Linked DNA regions of Macaca mulatta. The protein of the gene in region 1 purifies or fractionates together with the protein of each later gene. This does not show direct contact. Links are inferred from orthologs where the notes say so. Each region holds a gene or a part of one and is shown in the gene's direction. Other genes may lie near its edges.

Region 1 (4,467 bases):
CCCTACTGATTTGAACTGTTAACTTTATAAAATCTTTATTTTATATGCTTTTTCAAATTGTTTATGAATTCAACACTGTTTTAGTTTTTTTTTTGTTTTTTTTTTTTTTTTTTGGAAACAGAGTCTCATTCTTTTTGCCCAGGCTGGAGTGCAGTGGCATGATCTCAGCTCACTGCAACCTCTGTCTCCCGGGTTCAAGCGATTCTCCTGCCTCGGGCTCCTGAGTAGCTGGGATTACAGGCACCCACCACAACACTCGGCTAATTTTTGTATTTTTAGCAGAGACGAGGTTTCACCATGTTGGCCAGGCCAGCCTCAAACTGCTGACCTCAGGTGATCCACGCGCCTCAGCCTCCCAAAGTGCTGGGGTTACAGGTGGGAGCCACCACACCTGGCCTTTTTTTTTGACAAGATTTTGCTCTGTCACCAGACTGGAGTGCACTGGTGCACTCATAGCTCACCAAACCTCAAACTTCTGAGTTGAAGAGATGCTCCCACTTTGGCTTCCCAAAGTGCTAGGATTACAGGCGTGAGCAGCCGTGCCTGGCATACTTATTGTAATTTTTTTTTTTTTGGAGACAAAGTCTTGCTCTGTCAGCCAGGCTGGAGTGCAGTGGCATGATCTCCGCTCACTGCAATCTCCGCCTCCCGGACTCAAGCAATTCTCCTGCCTCAGCCTCCTGAGTAGCTGGGATTATAGGCATGTGCCACCACATCTGGCTAATTTTTGTATTTTTAGTAGAGACGGGGTTTCACCATGTCGGCCAGGCTGGTCTTGAACTCCTGACCTCAGGTAATCTGCCCAGCTCGGCCTCCCAAAGTGCTGGTATTACAAGCGTGAGCAACCGTGCCTGGCCACTTATTGTAATTTTTAATGAACATTTTTATCCTGGTGGGTCACACTTCTTTCCTATTCATCTTATTCAAATCCTTTTCCTACACTTTGTTTTTACTCTTTCAAAAGAGCTTCAGGTTATTTGATATTTTTCTTGGGCTGGCATGAAGTACATGAGGAAAATGAAAATCTCAAGCGTTGAATCTAGGAACACTGTAAGTCTCTCCGTTTATTTAAATTTCCTTTCATGGTTTTCATAAAGTTTTTTCCTCACTGCACACAACTGGTTAGGTCATTTCCTAGCACTTTTACGTTGCTGTCATGTATCCGATCCATCTCAGTGTGCTTTCTGTCTCATTTTTACTGGTACTTACAAAAGTACATACATTTTTATCATCCGCACATATTGATTTTTACATTTTTCTTTGAAAATGTCATTTCATTATCGGAAACGTCTAGCATAATCTTAAATGGTGCAATACACAACGGAAGAGAGTCCTTAGTTTTTTCACATTTTACTAATTATGAGGCTAACCGGTGAGATAGTATTTTATTCCCATTTTGCAGAAGAAGATAAGGGCAGTGGGGCACACAGCTGGGGCACTCGCCCCAATCCCATTTCGCATTTGAGCCCAGGCAGCCTGGCCCTGCTGGGTGTACAGTCCCGCCGCAGAGAAGAAACACGTGAATGAACAGCCTCGCTGTGCGCCCACGAGGAGAGGCCCCTGGGACACAGCTCCCTCCCGCGGCGGCTGGGCCCGGCTTCCCGCACTGGGGCGCTGTCGGCCCGTGGTGCGGGGTTCGAGCCGCGGGCGGGGAGTCCAAGCGGGCTCGCGACGGACACCAGGTGTCACCTGGCCGTGGCGTCCGGTGCGGCGTGGGCGTCCGGGGGCGCGGCGTGGAGGAGCGCGCGGGATGGGGCGTGGGCGCGGGGAGCGCCGGGCGGAGCCTTAAAAAGTGGCCGGGAGGGGGGGCCAGGCGGGCGATGGCCCCGCGGCCGGGACGCGCCCAGGGACCATGCCGGGCAACGGCAGCGCGCTGCCCAACGCCTCGCAGCCCGGGCCCGGCGGGGACGGCGCGCGGCCGCAGCCCTCGTGGCTGGCATCGGCGCTGGCCTGCGTCCTCATCTTCACCATCGTGGTGGACGTCCTGGGCAACCTGCTGGTCATCCTGTCGGTGTATCGGAACAAGAAGCTCCGGAACGCAGGTAGGGCCCGCGCCGCCCCCGGGGCCAGCGCCCCTCCGCCCGCAGCCAGCCTCCCCAGCACCGGGTTCTTGTTTCTGAACACTGCGGGCTCGGAGTCACTTTTCTTATTAGAGGGGACTCTTCCTCCAGCCTGCCCATCGAAAGTGCCTTTTTCTAAGACACGGAGTCGCAGCCCCTAAGAGATGGGACGCTCCGCCAGAGTCGCGTTCTCTTTCCTATGGGGACACTCCCGTCTGGTTGTCCCGTCTGAGTTTTACTAGATTGAGAAGCATCAGGTCCAGGTTGCAGAAAGCTCCTCAAGCAGCCTCTGCAACGAAATGATCAACTGCTGGGTCTTACATGGGACTTAGTTTTCCTAACATTGTTAAAATATGGAAACACAGAAGCTGGCAAAATGCTGGAGCAGCCGCAGTGGTTTTGTTGTTCAGAGTAGTCTGTCGTTAGGAGCCTACAGTCGAAAAAAAGGCCCCTAAACATGCTGTGTCCGGCAGGCCGCGGCTCCTCCAAGTAAACAAGTTGACACTTTAAAAACAGAAGTTGTTGTGTTAGAGGAGGCAGGTAGCCAGGCGTGAGCAGAAAGAGTACACTTACGTATCATATGCAACTGCAGATAATTTTGTGCTTGAGTTAAACTTGCTTTTTCCTCCAGCAATGCATTGAACTGGTTTGTTCTGGGGGGAACCTGTGGACAGTTTGTTCTTAGGATACTGGATGTTCAGACCTCTAAGTGATGATTAGATGCTTGGTTCTCTGAAGAAACTAGTTTTTTATTTGGAGGCACTTTTGGGAGAAGGTGTGGGGAAGGAAACATGCACTTAAATGTCTGCCAAGATCAATATTTTTGTTTTAACTAGGTAGTTAAGAAAAGCTCTAATTTTGTTTAGCTCCTTTTGGGGGGACTCACCCCTGCCTCTCCCCACCCCCCGTAATGCTTTTGCAGTTTGTAATTTGAGAATTAGTTAGTTAGGCACCTAGTAACATGAATTGAGTTTGAGTTTGTAAATAGAATAAGCTCACTTCGTAGGTGACTGATATAATAACTGGAGGAATTCTGCTTTCCAAAAGAGGCTCATTCCTTCCTACCCACAAAAACGCCTTTCTCTGGACCAAACAGGTTGGGAGCACTGGGTTAACTCATCCCAGGGCATCCTTGTGGTGTGTTCTTAACTCACCTTACAGAGGAGAAACTGGGGCTGCAGGTTGTTCACAGGGACTGGAAGTGTGAGCAGGGCTGAATTCCCAGAGCTGGCCTCCAGAGCTCGCCCTGCTTCCTTGCTGTCAACAACTGCAGCACTTGGGAAGTTTGAATCCTGCAGAACCTTTCAGTTAAAAAGTGTTCACCGCCCAGGGTGGTGGCTCACGCCTGTAATCCCAGCACTTTGGGAGGCCAAGGTGGGTGGGTTGCCTGAGGTCAGGAGTTCGAGAACAGCTGGCCAACATGGTGAAACCCTGTCTCTACTAAAAATACAAAAAATCAGCTGGGTGGTGGCACACGGCTGTAATCCCAACTACATGGGAGGCTGAGGCAGGAGAATCGCTTGAACCTGGGAGGTGGAAGTTGCAGTGAGCAGAGATCGTGCCATTGCACTCCAGCCTGGGCAACAAGAGTGAAACTCCATCTCAAAAAAATAAAAAGTAAAAAGTGTTCTCGCCTGAACAATTTTACTTCTTGTGTTTTCTGAAAAAGAACTTAAGAAAATCGCTCCTTACACACACTTTGTATTTTATTTGCTAAGACATACTCTTAAGAGGACAATCCATAAAATACTACATTCCTGTCGCTTTAAGGGGAGCCCCTTAGTGAGCTTTAATCCACCCAACTTTAGAAGTTTCGTATTTTTATAATAGGGATTTTTTGTTTATATGTGCAGTTCAAGCCATTTGAGAATTTCTGGAATGGATGGTGATTTGAAACAGTGGTAAGGATAGCTGATTCAAATATAAGTTTTGGTATGCTTATTAAAAGTTTTGATGATTTTCAGACCTCCCATTTCAGCTAAATGAATTTTGTTGGCTTTAAGGATGAAATGATGGGAAGAAGAGAATGGAAGAAATGAGAAGGCGAAAGCATCTAGGCTTTGAACCATCACTTTCCTTTGGAAAGTTGGTATAATTGCCGTGATTTCTGCCACCTTCCTCCCCTCAAGGGACTGTGTTGACATTTGATTTCCCAGGGAATAAATTGAAAATGGCTAACAACCTGCATGGCAGGGACACTGGACAGCCACAGCCGAAGTAAGCTGCAACCACTGGCGTCTGTGGTGCCAACAGAATATTCGCTCTACTCGTGTCCACAATTTGATGATAGAAGTGATACTGCCATATCATATCTTCTGAGTAAATTTGATAGCATAATGGAATATTCCTGCAATGGAACGCTGGAATTAGATCTTTGCTGTGCACTTTCTGATTTCAGAAATCAGCG
Region 2 (4,375 bases), on another chromosome or scaffold:
TGCAAGCTCCGCCTCCCGGGTTCACGCCATTCTCCTGCCTCAGCCTCCTGAGTAGCTGGGACTACAGGCGCCCGCCACCTCGCCCGGCTAGTTTTCTGTATTTTTTTTTTAGTAGAGACGGGGTTTCACCGTGTCGGCCAGGGTGGTCTCGATCTCCTGACCTCGTGATCCGCCCGTCTCGGCCTCCCAAAGTGCTGGGATTACAGGCTTGAGCCACCGCGCCCGGCCCATTTTTTTTTTTTTTTTGAGACGGAGTCTTGCTCTGTCGCCCAGGCTGGAGTGCAGTGGCCGGATCTCAGCTCACTGCAAGCTCTGCCTCCCGGGTTCACACCATTCTCCTGCCTCAGCCTCCCGAGTAGCTGGGACTACAGGCGCCCGCCACCTCGCCCGGCTAGTTTTTTGTATTTTTAGTGGAGACGGGGTTTCATCATGTTAGCCAGGATGGTCTCGATCTTCTGACCTCGTGATCCGCCCGTCTCGGCCTCCCAAAGTGCTGGGATTACAGGCTTGAGCCACCGCGCCCGGCTTTTTTTCTTTTTAGATGGAGTTTTGCTCTGTCGCCCAAGCTGGTGTGCAATGAATGGCGTGATCTCGGCTCACTGCAACCTCTGCCTCCCGGGTTGAAGCAGTTCTCTTGCCTCAGCCTCCTGAGTAGCTGGGATTACAGGCGCCCACCACCACGCCCAGCTAATTTTTGTATTTTTAGTAGAGACGGGGTTTCACCATGTTGGCCAGGCTGGTCTCGAACTCCTGATCTCAAGTGATCCGCTCGCCTCGGCCTCCAAAAGTGCTGGGATTACTGGCGTGAGTCCCTGGGCCCGGCCTTTGTTTTTTCTTTTTCGATTTGCTGCAACCCAGAGGGAGAAGGCGGTTTACCGCCTTAAGACAAAGAAAACCGCAGTCCAGAAAGGCTCCCGAGTTCTGTAGATTCCAAAACAAGTTTATTGGACTCATTAACTTTAACAAATGACAAAGACACGCCTCCTCCACCTAACTCGCCCAACTCGCAGAAGCTCAGAGCGCTGGTTCCTGCTCTGTCCTCGAGGGCACCGGATCCCCACCCTCGGGCTAACAGATCCGCCCTCCCGGCTGTCCAGCAACTGAGCTCCCGGCGCTCCGCACCCAATCACAGCCCGGCCCCGCCTGCAACCCGCCCAGTGCCGGGTCCCTGGGTTTGGATCCACCCCTATTGCCTTTGCTCCGCGTGGCCACGCCTGCAGCCGAGGCCCGAGCCTGGGCTGCGCCTCATTCCCCCTTCGCCCCGCCCTCAAGCCAATCACCAGCCTCGAATCTCCTCTGGCCCCGCCTCCAGACCCGCCCCGGCCCAGTCCCGGGCTTGGTTAGCCCAGGCCCCACCCCCGGCCCGCCCCGCCGTCGGTGCGCGGCGGTCGGGAAGGCGCCTCCTGCAGACGCTCTGAACTGCCGACCCGAGAGCTTCCCGCAGAGGGCTGGTAGTGGGAGCGGAGCGGGTCGGGCGGGGCCGGGCGGGGCCGAGCCGGGCCGTGGGCCGTGTGGGGGCCGGGCGGCGGCCGGGCCGGCGGACGGCGGGATGGGCTGCACAGTGAGCGCCGAGGACAAGGCGGCGGCCGAGCGCTCTAAGATGATCGACAAGAACCTGCGGGAGGACGGAGAGAAGGCGGCGCGGGAGGTGAAGTTGCTGCTGTTGGGTGAGGCCGCGTCCCGCACTGGGATCCTTAATTCCCAGCTCGAATCCCCAGACAAGGACTTTGACCTCTCATACTAGGGCTTCGAACTCCCAGACTCGGGCTGTCTGGGACCCCACACCTGGGCCAGGACCAGGGTTGAAAACTCTAGGTTGGGCTAGACCTTCGATCCTGCCCAGACTCTAGACCAGATCCCTATCTCATCCCAGACCTCCAAATCCAGCCAACAGTGCCCCAACACCCGCGGTCCAGTGCCCTGCTTGGCCATCCCCCCTTACTAACCAGCTTCACAGAACTTCAGAGACCCCGCCATCCTTCCTTACACTTTACCCAAACCCCCAGGATGCCCGCCACTTGTTCCCCAACCCTCAGGCTCCACTTGTTTTCCTCATCTGCGCCTTTTATTCCTGTTGGGCATGAGCATCCCGCGGAGCCCCTGCCAGGCCCCCTACCCACTCCCTCCTTCTCCCTCTGTGCCCCATCCCCAGTCTGGAATCTGTGTCTTCCACCTGTGCGTTCTGACCCAAGGAACCTCTGGAATGGGAAACTGCTCTTGAGCCCGCTCTCCAACTGGAACCCCTTCAGCGAGCCCTGCTCCCTGCTTCCTGCCCTCCAGATCCTTCTCTGCAAGCATCACTCCCGAAACCTTCTGCTGATCCTCCACTAAGTCCTCTTACACTCTGGCCTTCCCCAATCCTTCCACCTCTCCTGCACCAAGTGGGCTGGGCTAGGATGAGGGAGCCCCGGATTGGAGAGGGCCTAGGCTGCCTTACGAAGAACCCCCACGGGGCTGGACTGAGGCTCCACTGGTCAAGCTGTGGGAGGGGGCCAGGCCTCAGGCTTCCCAGGGAGGCTCTGCGGGCTCTATGTTTTCCAGTTTCGAAGGCCAGTCTGGGAAGTAGGAGAGAGTGTGGAGGAGTTAGGGTTGTGGTCGCCTCCAAGGCCAGGAAAGATGGTGGCTGCTAGAGGGGTGGGGGGAAGTGGAAGTGGTGAGATAGCCGACATATTGCTGCCCCTGCGGGTGAGCCCAAGAGATCTGCTAGTAGGTGCTGGGCTGCCCACACCCCTTCTGGGCTGCAAGGCCTGGGATGTAGCCACTGAGAGTTCGGGGGCTTGTTGGATCTTGGGACCCTGTGAAGGGGGATGGTGGACTAGCTGAATGAGGAGTTGAGGGGCCAGCTAGGGGTGGGCCAGGGTGCTTCTGAGCATCCCAGCTGGCCTTTTGCAAAGACAGTGGGCCTACTGGCTGTCCCCATCCAACCTCCCACTGGAAGTAGGGGTGGTGCCCAGTGGCAGTCTGATTTTGATTTGGGGGTTTTAGAGTCGGGGGAGGGAGGCCCTTGCAACAGCACAGCACCGTTGTAGGCTGAGTACTGCCTGGGGGGGTGTGGCCCCTCAGCTTCAGAACTGTCATGGGGCTCCCAGGCTGTGAAAAGCAAGGCTTTTCGTGCTGGGCCTGTGGCCGAGGAACAGCATGTATGTTCATTATGGGCCCATCTGTTGACTGTCCCTGCGGACCTAGCCTCCGGGGCACAGCCTCGGAGGTTTCAAAATGGCATCCGCTTCGCTGCTGCCTCAGGGAGGAAGAGAAGGGGCGGGAAGGGGCGGCGGCCCAGCCTCCTGGGCTGCTTTGCGTTGGGCGCTTGCCTCTTCCTGTCTCTGCTGTGAGTGCGGCAGCGGCAGTGAGTGGGTGTCGACGCGGCGGAATGCCCATCGCTGCTACTGCTGCTGCTGCCCGATGGGCCTGGGGAGGGCACTTCCGGTACCGCTGCCTCCCAGTGCCCAGCCAGGAGTCTCTAGCCAGCCTCTCCCTAGGCTGATTGCAGCTACTGTGGTGACTGAGGAAATGCAAGACTGGACCATAGAGCTGGGGGAACGTAGGGCTTCTGGCTAGTTTTGTGTCCCGACACTAGAAGGGTCCCCGATCCCACCAGACTTGCTCCTTGGAGCCCAGCTCAGCTTTTGGGCTAAGTCAAGTGAGACCCGGCAAGTCCTCCCACACTGGGCTGGCAGCAGCCAGGGAGGCAGGGTCTGGCTTAGCACTTTCTAGCCTGGGGAGTTCACCCTGGGGTCCTGGCCTTCTGGCCTTTGCTTACCCTGTGAAATGGGCTTCCTGGGTTTGGGCCAAAGGAGTATCCCAGCTCAGGGTGGGGAGAACAAGAGCCTCCTGGTGGTTCTTGTTGGGGATGTGGGTTGGGAGTTAAGACCCTGCAGTGTGCTGCAAAGGGCTCTGACTAAGCTCTGCCCGATATTGACGACCCAATCTGCCATGGCTGCCTGGGGAGGGATCCTGGCTTGAGCCATGCCTTTCCCATTCAGGTGCAAGGTGGTGATGGGAGCCCAGCTGTGGCAAGTTCAGAGTTCTGGGCGCCTGTCCCATGTAGCGGGAGACTTTGTCCAGGCAACGGGACTCAGGTTGGGCAACTGCCAGCCTTCCCTCCCAGCCAGAACCACGCCTGCTGCCCTGCCTGCACATCGCCTCCCTCCATCCTGGGTAGCTCTGCCAGCAGGCGGGCACAGTTCTTGTCACCAGGGTAGAGGCTGATGTGGTACACACGGGCAAGAGAGTATTTCCTGGCAGCTTGGTAGGGGGAGCAGATACCAGTCCTGCGCTAGGGATGCTCACCACTCCTACCCAGCTCAATGTGATTGACCAGCTAGGCCCAGGTGGAATCTGGGCACTTAAGGGAAAGGAAGCCAGAGTGTGTGTG
Region 3 (4,457 bases), on another chromosome or scaffold:
AATGGGGATCTTTATTACCTACCTCACAGGGTTGTTGTGAGGATTAAGAGATGGGATGTGGAAGCACCTAGCCATATCTGGCAAATAGGTACTCAATAAATATTGGTTTTACTTCCCTTTCCTCTTGCCCTTTTTCCCCAAAAGTATTGATAATGGAAAAGCGGTCCCTTTCATTCTAACAGTCATTTGGGAATGACTGGGGGACTATTCAAACCTTGAAGAATTGGCATTGCTAAGAGTTATGGTGGACGAGGCTTTTTAAAGTGGCTCTAATCCTCTAATTAAATCCTTCTAATTAATGAATCATCACTATATAGCCCTCTCTGTTGGGACCTTACATTCTCAAGTTCAGATTCTATTAGAGAAAGAAAGTAATTTACAATCACAGGGAAAGGTTTTAGGGACTGAGTTCCCTTCCCTAGAATGTATAGTAATTATGGGCTTATTTGCCTGAAAAGTTCATTTACGACTACCTTCACGCAGTATCCAGGGTTATTAGTGAAAGATGCTATCGGCCTGGGGCTTTCACAGTGGACTTAAGTTTCAGGTGAGAATAGGGCTGAGAGGCAAATTTTACTAGAATTTCTCCTTTTGTATGTAATCGCAACAGGAAATTTTAATAGGAGATTCACAGGATGCATTGGTTTGTTTCAGGGTGTGGAACTGAAGTTGACTTATCTTGGTTTTAGTTCTAAGACCCTAAGGTAGGAAGATATGAATTATACTGGAGAGAAGGGCAGCATGGAAATTTTATGGAGGAACTACAGGCTTAACTTTAAGGTCATCGAGTATCTGCTAGTGATTTCATGTGGCCTTTTGCCAACATAGGAGTTAAGCAAATCTCAAGCCCACAAAAAAACGTGAAAGGTATAAGGACCAGGGGACATTTTGAGAGGAGTCAGTGGGCCAGAGAGGGCAAAAAGATATTGCTAAGGTCCTGAACACAGTCGGTGTTACGGTCTCAGATGTGAGACGTGAACGGCGCCCAGGCCGGGCAGCTTGTTCCCATTCCATTGATCCGATACAACCCCAACAGAGGCAGTGTCCCAAACTTGGGTAGGGGCCCCGAGTCTCCAGAGCAAGAGATCAAAGGAGTTTTCTAACAGCAGAGAAATTATCAGCAGAAATTCCCGCGCGGGATGTAGGCTTTAATTTAGACATCTCCGCCCCAAAACTGGCATTTTGAACGCGGGAGGGCATTATTTGTTGGAGGCCCCGGTTTTTCTCCATTTATCCAAATCAGGTAGCCGAAAGGTAAATGAGGCTTCAAGTTGGACGGCGGGCAGTGAACTTAACAGAACCTCGAAACTATAGATCCGCCGCCCAACCTAGCCGCCAGGTCCCCGTGACTTCCGCTTTCGGTCTCAACTCCTCTCCCCGAGGAGAGTGGTTTAAACAGTGAAGGCTGCGGGGCGTCGCCGGAAGTGTCGTAAACGCCGGATATCCGGTTCTTCAGGGCGCTAAGGGAGCTGACGGAGAGGGCCGCCGCCCAGCAGTAGACGCTACCTTAACCTGCCGAGCCGCAGTTCCCGCGGTGTGTGAGTGAGCCCGGGCAGGTGTCCCCTCTTCCGCCGCCGCCATGGGCTGCACGTTGAGCGCCGAAGACAAGGCGGCAGTGGAGCGAAGCAAGATGATCGACCGCAACTTACGGGAGGACGGGGAAAAAGCGGCCAAAGAAGTGAAGCTGCTGCTACTCGGTGAGGGGCTGGAGGCGGGGACTGAGTGGTGGTCGGGAGAGCCTAGGCGCTTGGAAGGCCTGAACGGGGTCTAGTCGGGCCGACGAAAAGGACTCTAAAGGGATCTGGAGGGCGTGCCGGGTGTGGGGCGGGGTGTTGGGGTTCATAGCTGAGGCCCCAGAGGGCGTGATGAGGGGGGTGGGGTTTTGGGGTTGCGGGAATTAGGCTATAGAGGGTGTGACTCCGGACTGGAATTGCGTTTAGCAGAGAGACTTGGGAGTATGGGCAGGTAGGATATTGAGGGAGTAGGAATATGGGAAAAGCTCATAAAGGAAGAGTTGATACTCGGGAAGGTTTTACATTGGGTTGGAGCGTGTTGGTAATGGTTTGTGAGATTGGAGCGTCGTGGTTCTTTGGCAGGATAAAGCTAGGAGGCTTGAATGGATGGTATAGAGACTGGAACAGAATGGTCACATAAGGACGTTGACATTTGTTAATGAGAGAGCCTTTTGAACTGTTGGAGGAACCCTGGATTATCCAGGAACATGAAGGTAGGTAGACGAGATAAATGACAAATTATCAAGTATAAAGGAAAAGAGTTTGGGTGCAGAGGCCATCTCTACCTTTCCACCGCTTTCTATCATTTTTATTTTCAAGGTTTTATAACGCCTTCTGTTTTTATAAAAGGATCGGAAATGGTGTGAGCTAAAGAAATTTAAAGAATGATTTGTTTGAGGTTTGTAGCAGAAGATATAGTGAACAAGAGATTACACATTGGAGAGTGCTGAACAGTTGCTATAGATGATGTGCAGTTGGAATAGTTACCTTAGGATAAGTTACAGAGTTGGACATATTTACTGTAAAGACTGTGGTAGACTTCTGGTGGCTGTTGTATCCATTTTGGCCTCTTCAAAGCAAAACCATTGGTTTCAGGAATTACTGTTTATATTATCTGATAGTCGTTTTAAGTGGCTTTTTTTGTGCAGTCGGATGTGTTTTACTCAACATGAGTTTTAAAATTTTTGAGAGGCTCAGTAAATCATACAAAGAATCCTGGCATTAGCTTACTAATAAATCAAGCCACATTTCATTATTAGTATTTTCTAGGGTAGTATTTCCATTAGAGATGAATAAGTAGGAGTAGGGGTTTCTGTAAGCAATAGAAATTTACTTTTTAAAACAATTGATTTTTGAGGAAAAGGAGTCACTTTAGGGGAAGTGCTAAATTTTCGTGGTATAAAGCTCCAGAGAACAGAATGTACCATTGTAACCCAAGACTAATTTTGTACTCTAGGACATGCTAAGTGCCCCGGTAGTCTCTTCTTAACGTATTTGGTTGGTTGTAGATTGCAGAAGCTCTGGTAATAGCTTTTTTGGATATACTATAAAGGGAAAGTTATGTATTGGAGCTTAAGCTTCCGGTTTGTATACTTGAACTTTCAGAAGATGCGAGTTCAAATTGTTTTAGACTGCCACTGTCTGTATAACAAGTAGATAAGCATGGTCCCTGGTACATAGTAGGTGCTCCTTAAATATTTACTGTTAACCAGCCTGAGCCAGCAAATGTTGAACATTGGTCCTTGGGGCCTTTGAGAAATTTGATATAAACTATAATATTTAGGGCATTCACTTTTTTTTTTTTTTTTTTTGAGACAGCTCTGCCTCCCGGGTTCACGCCGTTCTCCTGCCTCAGCTTCCTGAGTAGCTGGGACTACAGGCACTTGCCACCACGCCCGGCTAATTTTTTGTGTTTTTAGTAGAGACGGGGTTTCACCGTGTTAGCCAGGATGGCCTCGATCTCCTGACCTCGTGATCCGCCTGCCTCAGCCTCCCAAAGTGCTAGGATTACAGGCGTGAGCCACCGCGCCTGGCCAACATTTTCTTTATTGATTTATTGGTTATGAAATTAAAGATGTATTCTCATCTTCTATGAGTGATTTGATTTACACTGACCAACAGAGATACCCTCAGGACATCAGCTTATTGTAAGGTAGTTGGAAACTTTTGAGACTTTCTTCCAAAAGGCAGGATTAGGCAGGCACAATTTGGACAGGCGGAACTTGTCCATATGTCTAGAAGAATTTTTATTCAGGATTTTACAAATAGTGCATTTAATTAAAAGCAGAATTAGACACTTGATGACTTAGGGAACTGAGTAAGCAGTGAGTAAAAATCAAAGTACTAAACATATTTGCTTTCAATTTTTATCTTCATTCTTTTTTAAGTAAGATTTTTTTTTAATATTCTTGAGCAAGTTAAATCCAGAAATTCAAATAGTTTGCAGAAACATATGTTCTTGCTTGAACCATATCATAACACACATAGAAAATTAAAATTATCTTCTATGCTATTTCTGTAAGCAAAATGTACCCAAAACAGTATACAGTTTTCTTTTTCCTGAATAATATCTCCTTTGCTGTAGATGCAAGTCGTTTTTACTTTATCACTATGGAACTTAGTTTAAGTTGAGATCTATCTACTTACCCTTGTGTCTCCTGGCACATGATATATTTTCTTATGGGGGTATAGTTTAACATGGTGATTAATAGCATGGGTCCTGAAGTCAGACTGCTTCAAATCCTAATTCCCATTTGCTAGTTATAGCCTTGGGAAAGTTAATTTCTCTTGGCCTCAGTTTTCTTATCTTTAAAATGGAGAAAATAGAGCTACTTCTAGGATTGCTGTGAGGATTAAATATGATAATGATGTAAAGCAGAACACAGCTTGGCACATAGTACTAGCTTCATGAAGATTAGCTATTCTTATTAAGTCAAAACGAAT

What was found.
Region 2: the proteins of MTNR1A (region 1) and GNAI2 purify together in Homo sapiens (tandem affinity purification; 3 studies listed by BioGRID and IntAct, with this or other methods). This does not show direct contact. The link is inferred for Macaca mulatta from reciprocal best matches to the Homo sapiens genes MTNR1A and GNAI2.
Region 3: the proteins of MTNR1A (region 1) and GNAI3 purify together in Homo sapiens (tandem affinity purification; 3 studies listed by BioGRID and IntAct, with this or other methods). This does not show direct contact. The link is inferred for Macaca mulatta from reciprocal best matches to the Homo sapiens genes MTNR1A and GNAI3.

Annotation. Positions count from the first base shown.
Region 1 is NC_133410.1:194,969,655-194,974,121, reverse strand, and holds the start of MTNR1A (melatonin receptor type 1A), read left to right. Parts: upstream 1-1,650; 5' UTR 1,651-1,852; coding exon 1,853-2,042; intron 2,043-4,467.
Region 2 is NC_133407.1:113,709,814-113,714,188, forward strand, and holds the start of GNAI2 (guanine nucleotide-binding protein G(i) subunit alpha-2), read left to right. Parts: upstream 1-1,419; 5' UTR 1,420-1,549; coding exon 1,550-1,667; exon of another isoform or gene 1,668-1,988; intron 1,989-4,346; exon of another isoform or gene 4,347-4,375. UniProt on the Homo sapiens protein: Guanine nucleotide-binding proteins (G proteins) are involved as modulators or transducers in various transmembrane signaling systems.
Region 3 is NC_133406.1:130,654,906-130,659,362, reverse strand, and holds the start of GNAI3 (guanine nucleotide-binding protein G(i) subunit alpha-3), read left to right. Parts: upstream 1-1,426; 5' UTR 1,427-1,579; coding exon 1,580-1,697; intron 1,698-4,457. UniProt on the Homo sapiens protein: Heterotrimeric guanine nucleotide-binding proteins (G proteins) function as transducers downstream of G protein-coupled receptors (GPCRs) in numerous signaling cascades.